2 linked regions of the Macaca fascicularis genome follow. The protein of the gene in region 1 purifies or fractionates together with the protein of each later gene. This does not show direct contact. Links are inferred from orthologs where the notes say so. Each region holds a gene or a part of one and is shown in the gene's direction. Other genes may lie near its edges.

Region 1 (4,941 bases):
TAGTTGGGCATTTAGGTTATTTCTACTTATTTGCGTATTAGAAACATAATTGCACTGAACAACTCTTTAGTCTTCATGAATATTCATAAGTGATCTTTTGGGCAGTGCTTAGGACACTTTGGTCCTAGATCCCACTCTGCCCCTTTTCCCTTCTGCAAAGCATAACTGCTGAGTGTAGATGCTAGAGTCAGATGACCTAGATTCATTCCTGGCTACATCGTTTACTATCTGTGTGACCTTAAGCAGATTATGTAAACATTCTGAGACTCAGTTTTTCTAGCAGTTAAATGATGGCAGCAGTAGTTTCTGCCTTGTAATGTATGACAGAATAGGATGAGCTATTCTACCTATAACACTTAACACATGCCTGGCATGTTGTAATCCTTAAATAGATGTCATTATTTTTAGTGTTACTATCACCAACCTTACAGGATTATGATAAAGACTGAATGAGAAAAGTGCTTTGCCAAATATGAAATGCCTAACAAGTAGAGGATGTTATGATTTTAGTGATTTGATCTTATTTGGAAGCATAAAATCTCCTATGTGCTTAGTTCAGGTTTTAAGAAGTGAATTTCTGGAACAATGCCAGGTTGTGTAAGATGGATGAAGCATTGGCGTGCTGATGTTTCTTGGTAAAGTCCCTGCTCTCAGCCTCCCCTTTGGTATTAATGCGGGAAGTACTCTTGTCTCGTAGAGCTCTGGCTGGAGTGGCTGCACGACGAGATCAGCATGGCCCAGGACGGCCTGGACAGAGAGCATGTGTATGACCTCTTTGAGAAAGCTGTGAAGGATTACATTTGTAAGTTCCCGTGGACTTTTTTAGGGTATCTGAAAATGTCATGTAGATCAGTCTGCTGTTGAGGACTGTATTATGAGATGCTGCTACCCAGAAAAGGGAACTTTAGTCTAACAATTAGCAAGATTTAAGTTCAATCGTCTTGTCATTGTCTTTGTTCTTTAATTGAGGAAGTGTAGTTTTAAAATAAAAGTGGAAGAAGCGCTTGCAGTAAGGGAATGAGTACACTCACACTCAGGATGTACTGACAGAGCTTACATGGCATTTCCTGGTGATCTTTTATACATTGAATAGGGTTTTAGAGGTTTTGGACAAGATGCTTTAAAAAAAAAAGATGAAAACATTAAAAGAAAACCTTTTTATTTTGAAGTAATTATAGAGTATAGGAAGTTGCAGAAATAGTACAGAGAAGTCTTGTGTACTCACTTTACCCAGTTTCCTCCAATATCTTGTTTCTGTAGTACAAAATCAAAACCAGGAAATTGCCGGGCGCGGTGGCTCAAGCCTGTAATCCCAGCACTTTGGGAGGCCGAGACGGGCGGATCACGAGGTCAGGAGATCAAGACCATCCTGGCTAACACGGTGAAACCCCGTCTCTACTAAAAATACAAAAAACTAGCCGGGCGAGGTGGCGGGCGCCTGTAGTCCCAGCTACTCGGGAGGCTGAGGCAGGAGAATGGCTTAAACCTGGGAGGCGGAGCTTGCAGTGAGCTGAGATCCGGCCACTGCACTCCAGCCTGGGCGACAGAGCGAGACTCCGTCTCAAAAAAAAAAAAAAAAAAAAGAACAACAACCAGGAAATTGACCTTGGAACAATGGGAAAAAAAGACATTTTATTACATGTGTAGATTCATCTAACCACTGCTGCAGTCCAGATACAGAATCGTTCTGTCCCCACAGAGACCTCCCTTGCCTGCTGGTATTGACATCTTACCGGTGCAAGTGGAGTATAGAAGACTCACCTCCCTTTAAGTCTCTTTACTGTGCCCTGTATATAGTATAAGTGTCTTAAATATTTTCTGTATGTGAACTGGGGACCACATCAGACAATGCTGTGGACAAAATGCTATTAAAAAGCGTTTTAAGGCTGGGCGTGGTGGCTCACACCTGTAATCCCAGAACTTTGGGAGACCGAGGCTGGTGGTCACTTGACATTGGGAGCTCAAGACCAGCCTGGCCAACATGGCAAAACCCCATCTCTGCTAAAAATACAAGAATTAGCCAGGCATGGTGGCACGTGCTTGTAATCTCAGCTACTCAGGAGGCTGAGGCAGGAGAATTGCTTGAACTGAGGAGGTGGAGGTTGCAGTGAGCTGAGGTTGTGCTACTACACTCCAGCCTGGGCAACAGAGTGAGATTCTGTCTCAGAAGAAAGCATTTTAAGGTCAGGCTTGGTAGCTTATGCCTGTAATCCCAGCAATTTGGGAGATCAAGGCAGGCAGCTCACTTGAGCCCAGGAGTTTGAAATCAGCCTGCCCAGCATGGGGAAACCCCATCTCCACTAAAAATACAATTAGCTGGGTGTGGTGGCATGTAGGCCTGTAATCCCAGCTACTCAGGTGGCTGAGGCATGAAAATTGCTTGAACCCAGGAGGCAGAGGTTGCAGTGGACCAAGATTATGCCACTGTACTCCAGCCTGGGTGACAAAGTGAGACTCTGTCTCAGAAGAAAAAAAAAAAAAAAGGCATTCTAAAAATTTCCCCTTTCAGACTGGGGGTGGTGGCTCACGCCTGTAATCCCAGAACTTCGGGAGGCTGAGGCAGGTGGATCTCGAGTTCAGGAGTTTGAGACCATCCTGGCTAACACAGTGAAACCCCATCTCTACTAAAAATACAAAAAACTAGCCAGGCGTGGTGGCACACACCTGTTGTCCCAGCTACTCGGGAGGCTGAGGCAGGAGAATCACTTGAACCCAGGAGGCGGAGGGTGCAGTGAGCTGAGATCATGCCTCTGCACTCTAGCCTGGGTGACAGAATGAGACTCTGTCTCAAAAATCAAACAAACAATTTCCCCTTTCAGATTTCATATCCTCTTCCTTGTTGATTTCCCACTGGGAGCAGTCCCTCTTGTGAGAAGCATTGCTGCTTACCATATAGACTGTTCTGAGATAGAGAATTTTTTGTGTATCTTTGCAAGCCAAAAAGAATTCACAATTTTTTGGTTTATAATCTGTATAATGAAAATAAGAGGTGTTTTATGAATATACAAGTATAGTATGTGTGTGTGTGTGTGTGTGTTATCTTTTTTTTCTTTTTTGAGAGTCTCGCTCTCAGGCTGGAGGGCAGTGGTGTGATCTCGGCTCGCTGCAACCTCCCCCTCACCTGAGTTCAAGCGATTTTCCTGCCTCAGCCTCCCAAGTAGCTGGGACTACAGGTGCCTGCCACAACGCCCGGCTAATTTTTGTATTTTTAGTAGAGACGGGGTTTCACCATATTGGCCAGGCTGGTCTCGAACTCCTGACCTTGTGATCTTCCCGCCTCAGTCTCCCAAAATGCTGGGATTATAGGTGTGAGCCACTGCACCTGGCCAAATGTATTTTTAAAAACTATATCTGTACCTCTGCTCTGTGGCCCATGAGTCTTCTTTTAGAACCACTGATAATTTTAGCAGTGCATGGTGTTCCCATGATTTCTGATGATCCTGTTACCCACTTCTTTCTCTCTCACAGCCATTGTTAATAGCACCAGTTATCTTTTTCTGAGGATCTATGGTCTTCCCCAGACTGTAATGTTTTTTGGTCCTTTATGGTCATCTCTGCTGTTAGGCCTTCACTGTCATTTAGTGCTGCTGTCTGAGAACTTTTTTGGTAGGCACATTTCTTTTGTTTTGCATCAGTTTTGATATTTGGGTATTTTATACCCCAAACTAATTGAACACTTCTTATTTTTAGGTCCTAACATTTGGCTAGAGTATGGCCAGTACTCAGTTGGTGGGATTGGTCAGAAAGGTGGCCTTGAGAAAGTTCGCTCCGTGTTTGAAAGGGCTCTCTCGTCTGTTGGTTTGCATATGACCAAAGGACTCGCCCTTTGGGAGGCTTACCGAGAGTTTGAAAGTGCAATCGTGGAAGCTGCTCGGGTGAGTACCTGTGGTTGTCTCTGAACAGGCTGGGGCTGTCTTTGTAAGTCTCCTTGGAAGGATTATTTTGAAACACATGTCCAGGATGAATCTTGCAGTTCATATAGTTAACAAAATGGTCTTTGCCAATCCCTTAGTGGTTGGGTGATAGATAACCTTTTTTATACCCCTTGTAGCATTTGGTTCAATATGTATGGAAGAGGTCGTATACATTTTTTTAGCTTGAACTGAAAATTTGTTGAGATACTTTTTGAAGTAGAAAGAACCAGAGTTGGCCAAGTACGGTGGCTCATGCTTGTAATCCCAGCAGTTTGGGAGGCTGAGGCCAGATGATCTCTTGAGTTCAGGAGTGCAAGACCAGCCTGGGCAATATAGTGAGACCCCATCTCTACAAAACATAAAACATTAGCTGGGCGTGATGGCATATGCCTATGATCCTAGCTACTCAGGACTCTGAGGTGGGAGGATTGCATGAGCCTGGAGCATGAGGCTGTAGTGAGCTGTGATCACACCACCGCACTCCAGCCAGGGTGACAGTGAGAACCCTTCTCAAAAGAAAAAACAAAGAAAGAACCACAGTTTGTTATTTACTACTAATTTGCTTCTTTAGCCCGTAGCTGGCTTCCTTTCCCCTTTTGACCGGGAACAAACCTTTGATTCACAGCTTGAGAAAGTCCACAGTCTTTTCCGGCGACAGTTGGCGATCCCACTCTATGGTAAGAGAAACTGACATGTCAATAGCCAGCCCTCTATGGTTTTTAAAATACTTTGGGGGAATGACATGTAGTTAGACCTTTCCCACCATCCTGTGAGGCAGGTAAAGCTTGTGTTCTTACTGTCCTTGGATATTGTCTCTCGGGATGAGGTCCTAGGTAAAAACATCTTGAATGTTAGTGCTTAAGAGGGTTGTGAGGGTCAGAAGCAGGACTGGAAGCCAGACTCCCTGACTCCTAGGTGAGAGCTCTTTTCTCCTTTGAGACCTAGCTGGAAAGGCAGAGATAGGGTCTCTGAAAGGAATAGTGAATGACACCGGTATTTTTGGGGGAAACGTCATTGAACAAGAGTT
Region 2 (5,601 bases), on another chromosome or scaffold:
ACAGGTGGTGGTACCTGGTTGGGGGAGGGGGGCGTGCACTGCCATGTCTTTTTTTTTTTTTTCCTAATTGGGGGTTTCTCTTTCTGTCCGGTGTCCGGACTATCCTAATTGGAGTTTGAGGCCCCTAAGCTGGCATCAACCCCAGGCCATGCTCGCTCTTTCCTTCCCTCCCCTCCCCCTCCGCCTTTTGTACGCCAGTTCTCAGAAATAAAGATCTTTTGTCCGTTTTTTTAACCTCGGATTCTGTAATTGGTTCTTATAGTAACAAATAAAAAGCTGTTTTCTTCAGCTTCTCCTGGCTCAGCTGTTCTTTGCCATGGGTGTGTGTTGTGTGTGTGTTGGGGGTGTCTTTGACAGGGAAAATAAAGGACAAAGGACAACAAAGGAGGTACAGATGGTTCTTGCCTTGGGAACAGCTTTATGAGATATGCAGCCTGGACCGAGGCGGCTTGCTCCAGCTAGCCTTCTTGTGGGATCCAAACTGCTCCCCAGCTCCCAGTGGTGATGGAGCCCAAGCACCATCTTGGCCCAGATTCCTTCAAAGGAGTTGAGATGAGCTTTCTGGATGACTGGTGGCCTCCATAGGAAAGGAGAATGGGGGTGTTTCTTCCTCTGTTTCCCACCTCTTACTCCCCTCTCCCTTTCACTTAAGGAATTCTGGAAGTTGCTGGCAGCCAGGGTAACATGTATACCACCTTGGTGGTGGTGATGGGGTTATAGGAGGATCTCCTCACCTAGCTGTGTGGTGTATTTGGCAGATGAGAATTCTACCATTGAACCACTCGAGCACCTCTGGGTGTATGTGTACAGCCTGCTGCTTCAGGATCCTCAAGGCCAGTCTCAGCAACTGCCTTGATACCCTGATCCACTGTAGCACCGTTTCCTGCCTGAAAGGTTTGGGACACTGAGATTAGATGCCTGAGCAGGGCCCATTAGAAGGAACACCTTAGGAGAGACAACAAGAAGTTCAGCCTACTATATGCTCCTTGGGCACTTCCTTTAGAGATGGGGAACAGCCTCGGCAGTTGTGACTCGCTCAAGGTCAAAGACCATGGTGTCTGCCTTCGGTCCACTGCTCTTTGCGCCATTCAAAGCTGTGGGCTGAGCCCATCTGAAAGTCCTCTCCACCTCCTTATGATCCCTGTCCCTAGGGCATCCCCAGCTCCTCTAGTCCCTCCCTGTACTGAGCCTACACCTCGGCGGTGTTGGGAGGAACTGACAATTATACCAGATGGGCTTTGACAGCATTCGCCCCCTCCAGTGTCTTCACTCAGTTACCGGTACTCGGTTTTGTCTTGTCGCACTGCTCTGGGGTACGCCAGTGGCTCTGGCTCCTCGGGAGTACACCACGCAGCCCACTACTGCGGAAGGAATGGGCCTGGCTCCAGGGACCTTGTGGAGTCCGGAAGGTGCCCGGTGGTGGCAGAGCTCCCCAACCAGGGCTAGAAGCAGTCGCAGAACACCCGTTTTGCGAGAGGACAGGGGGTGGAGGGAGGGAATAACAGCCCTGAAAAGGTTGGAAGTCCAGGAACAGCCCTGGGCTCCGTGGGGCAAAGGATTGGAAGCCGCCGATCCTCTGCCTTTATTCGTCGGGTAAATAAGGGTCGAGGGTACAGACACAAGGGTATCTACTGCGGGGTGAAGGAGCTGCAGCTAGACGCTACCCGGCGCCGGCCTTTGTGGCTGCTGTCATAAATATTCACGACGCTTTGGGCCAATCAACGCCTGAACAGCTTAAAGCACACCAATCGGCTTGCCGCATGCAGATAAGCATCGTAACGCGCGGCTTTTCCTAAAACGGGCGGGGACTCGACAGCGGCTAGGAACGGAACCCGGAGTCGAAGGAGCTTGGTTTCCGGAGGAGTGTGTCCGCTCAATTGGACGACTTATGTCACTTCCTATCGGACCGGCGGAAGTAGCTTCCGAGCGCGTTGAGCTTCAGAGAAGTGGGTTCCGGTCGTGGCAGAGGTGCTTGTGTTTTTGTCGGTACAGGAGAGTCGCTATGGCGGCGGTGGATTCGGATGTCGAATCGCTGCCACGTGGGGGTTTCCGCTGCTGCCTCTGCCACGTTACTACAGCCAACCGTAAGCGGTGGCTAGTGAGGGACCCGGGTGGTTGCGGGCTTTCGTCTTTTGATCCTGGCGAAAGTTAGGGTTATAGGTAATCGTTCCTGTCAGGTCGGTTGGTAGGGTCTCTCACCTGCGTTTTTACTCCGCAAGTCCGAGGGGATTTGGAGAGTCGGGAAAGTCCCACCACATTACACTCCTTCTCAGTATACGAAATCTCCACAACGCGTTTCATTGTTTTATTCCTTCTTTAACCATCATCTATTGGACATATGCTCTGTGCCTGGTATTCTGCTGATCTTTAGGGTGGGGGAAGGGGGTTCAGAGATGAAGGAGCTCACCGTTTAGAGATGGAGAAAGTTTCAATGCTTTATAGATATGTTTGGAGAACTGTGGGACCACAGAGAATCAATAACTAAATCAGAGAAGCCCTACAGAGGACCTACTCAAAGGCGGGGACGGATGAAATAGATGGCATGAATGACTAGACCATAAGATACCAGTGAGGAAGGGACAGAAGATGGGTTTGGAAAAATGGACAAGGTTCTTGTATGACAGAGAAGGGGTTCACTGTAACTTCAAATTCCACTTTTTTTTTTTTTTTTTTTTTGAGACAAGGTCTCGCTCTGTCACCCAGGCTGCGGTGCAGTGGTGTGATCTCGGCTCACTGCAGCCTCAACCTCAGCTGCAGAGTGATACCCCCAGCTAGCCTCCCAAGTAGTTGGGTCTACAAGCGTGTACCACCATACTTGGCTAATTTTTTTTTTTTTTTTTTTTTTGAGACGGAGTCTCACTCTGTCGCCCAGGCTGGGAGTGCAGTGGCGCCATCTCGGTTCACTGCAAGCTCCACCTCCCAGGTTCACGCCATTCTCCTGCCTCAGCCTCCCGAGTAGCTGGGACTACAGGTGCCCACCACCATGCCCGGCTATTTTTTTTATTTTTAGTAGAGACGGGGTTTCACCGTGTTAGCCAGGATGGTCTTGGTCTCCTGATCCCGTGATCCGCCCACCTCCGCCTCTCAACGTGTTGGGATTATAGGCGTGAGCCACCACGCCCGGCCTTGTCTAATTTTTTAATTTTTTGTAGAGATGGGGTTTCACCGTGTTGCCTAGGCTGGTCTCCAACTCCTGGCCTCAAGCGATCTTCCCATCTTGGCCTCCCAAAGTGCTGGGATTACAGGTGTGAGCCAATGTGCCCGGCCCTACTTTTGAAGTCTGGAATCACAATCTTCCCTAAACAGGGTCTACTTCCATTCTTCCTTTTCTCTGTGAATGGCACTATCACTGTTCATCCAGTAAGCCAAGCCAGAAACGTAGGAGTCTTCCTTGGCCCCACATTTACTTTAGTGACATCAAGCAGCTAACTCATAATAAAATAATAGCAATGGCTAGTTTTTCAACATTTACCATGTACCTGACTCTCTGCCAAGTGATACATGTGAATAATACCTGTGTGTGAGGTGCTAGATACTGTTATTTCCATTTTATATCTGAGGAAGTTGAAGCATAGTGAGGTTTCATGACTTGACCAAGGTCTCACACAGCTTGACAGAGCTGGGATTTGAACTTGGGCAATGTGATTTCAGATCCTGCCCTTGACATCACTGTATCATACCATGTCCAGAGATGATCCACGAAGTATTCTAGGATCTGAATTTTTTTAGTTCTTCTGTAGATGACCTGGATAAGTTACCTGTTAATTTCTTTCCAGCTCTACCTAGCACAAATAGGTGGTTTAAGAAGGACTTTACTATCACACAGTTCTTTAAGTAAAAATAAACGAAATACTTATAGTGTAGCCAGTTCTCCTGGGAACCTGTCTCTACTAAAAATACAAAAATTAGCTAGGCGTGGTGACACACACCTGTAGTCCCAGCTACTCAGGAGGCTGAGGCAGGAGAATTTGTAGAACCTGGGCGGCAGAAATTGCAGTGAGTGGAGACTGTGCCACTGAACTCCAGCGGGGGTGACAGTGAGACTTTAAAAAAAATTTTTTTTAAAAAGAATGTACTATTTAGACAAATGTATAAGAGAGGAAGGTGAAAGGAGCCAAGACTTTGTTTAGTCAAAGGTCACAGTTTCTGTGGCTTGGAAGGATCAGTAAGATTTAGGTATGCAGAGAGCAAAGGCAGACACGCTGAAGAGTGCTTTGGATGTTTTTATCTCACACTTGTCTTTGCAGGACCCAGCCTTGATGCCCACTTGGGAGGCAGAAAGCACCGGCACCTGGTGGAACTACGAGCTGCGAGAAAGGCCCAGGGACTTCGAAGTGTATTTGTCAGTGGCTTTCCCAGGGATGTGGATTCTGCTCAGCTCTCTGAGTATTTCCAAGCATTTGGACCTGTGGCCAGTGTTGTCATGGACAAGGACAAGGTAAAGTGAATGGCTCTCGGGGTAAAGAATGAATCAGGACTGGGTGCGATGGCTCACGCCTGTAATCCCAACACTTTGGGAGGCTGAGGCAGGCGGATCCATCCTGAGGTCAGGAGTTGGACAACATGGTGAAACCCCCCCATCTCTACTAAAAATAAAAAATTAGCTGGGTGTGGTGACGCATGCCTGTAGTCCCAGCTACTTGGGTGGCTAAGGCAGGAGAATTGCTTGAACCTGGGAGGCAGAGGTTGCAGTGAGCTGAGATCGTGCCACTGCACTCCAGTCTGGATGACAGAGCAAGACTCCATCTTAAAAAAAGAAAAAAAAAAAAAAGAATGAATCAGATGTGCTGTGTACCAAAGAGACAAAAGAGAGAAACCAACAGCCTCTTTGAGCTGGTTCCTAATGTGGCTTGTTCTTGATGGACATCACAGTATTTGGGCTTGGCCAACTTTGGGAGCTTCTCACACCTCCCCCGCCCTTTGAATTTTTTTTTTTTTTTTTTTTTTTTGAGACGGAGTCTCGCTCTGTTGCCCGGGCTGGAGTGCAGTGGCCGGATCTCAGCTCACTGCAAGCTCCGCCTCGCAGGTTTACGCCATTCTCCTGCCTCAGCCTCCCGAGTAGCTGGGACTACAGGCGCCTGCCACCTCGCCCGACTAGTTTTTTGTATTTTTTTTTATAGTAGAGACGGGGTTTCACTGTGTTAGCCAGGATGGTCTCAATCTCCTGACCTCGTGATCCGCCCGTCTCGGCCTCCCAAAGTGCTGGGATTACAGGCTTGAGCCACCACGCCTGGCCTGAATTTTTATTTTTATTATTATTATTATTATTATTATTATTATTATTTTTTGACGCGGAGTCTTGCTCTGTGCCCCAGGCTGGAGTGCAGTGGCGCGATCTCGGCTCACTGCAAGCTCCGCTCCCCCGGGTTCACGGCATTCTCCTGCCTCAGCCTCCCGAGTAGCTGGGACTACAGGCGCCCGCCACCTCGCCCGGCTAATTTTCTTGTATTTTTAGTAGAGACGGGGTTTCACCGTGTTAGCCAGGATGGTCTCGATCTCCTGACCTCATGATCCGCCCGTCTCGGCCTCCCAAAGTGCTGGGATTACAGACTTGAGCCACCGCGCCTGGCCTATTTTTATTATTTTTTTCAGTGCAGTGGC

The links.
Region 2: the proteins of SART3 (region 1) and TUT1 purify together in Homo sapiens (co-immunoprecipitation; 4 studies listed by BioGRID and IntAct, counting the BioPlex papers as one, with this or other methods). This does not show direct contact. The link is inferred for Macaca fascicularis from reciprocal best matches to the Homo sapiens genes SART3 and TUT1.

The regions. Positions count from the first base shown.
Region 1 is NC_088385.1:115,381,081-115,386,021, reverse strand, and holds part of SART3 (squamous cell carcinoma antigen recognized by T-cells 3), read left to right. Parts: intron 1-697; coding exon 698-802; intron 803-3,690; coding exon 3,691-3,875; intron 3,876-4,485; coding exon 4,486-4,591; intron 4,592-4,941. UniProt on the Homo sapiens protein: U6 snRNP-binding protein that functions as a recycling factor of the splicing machinery. Promotes the initial reassembly of U4 and U6 snRNPs following their ejection from the spliceosome during its maturation.
Region 2 is NC_088388.1:11,467,003-11,472,603, forward strand, and holds the start of TUT1 (speckle targeted PIP5K1A-regulated poly(A) polymerase), read left to right. Parts: upstream 1-1,941; 5' UTR 1,942-2,002; coding exon 2,003-2,084; intron 2,085-4,247; coding exon 4,248-4,438; intron 4,439-5,425; exon of another isoform or gene 5,426-5,507; intron 5,508-5,601. UniProt on the Homo sapiens protein: Poly(A) polymerase that creates the 3'-poly(A) tail of specific pre-mRNAs. Localizes to nuclear speckles together with PIP5K1A and mediates polyadenylation of a select set of mRNAs, such as HMOX1.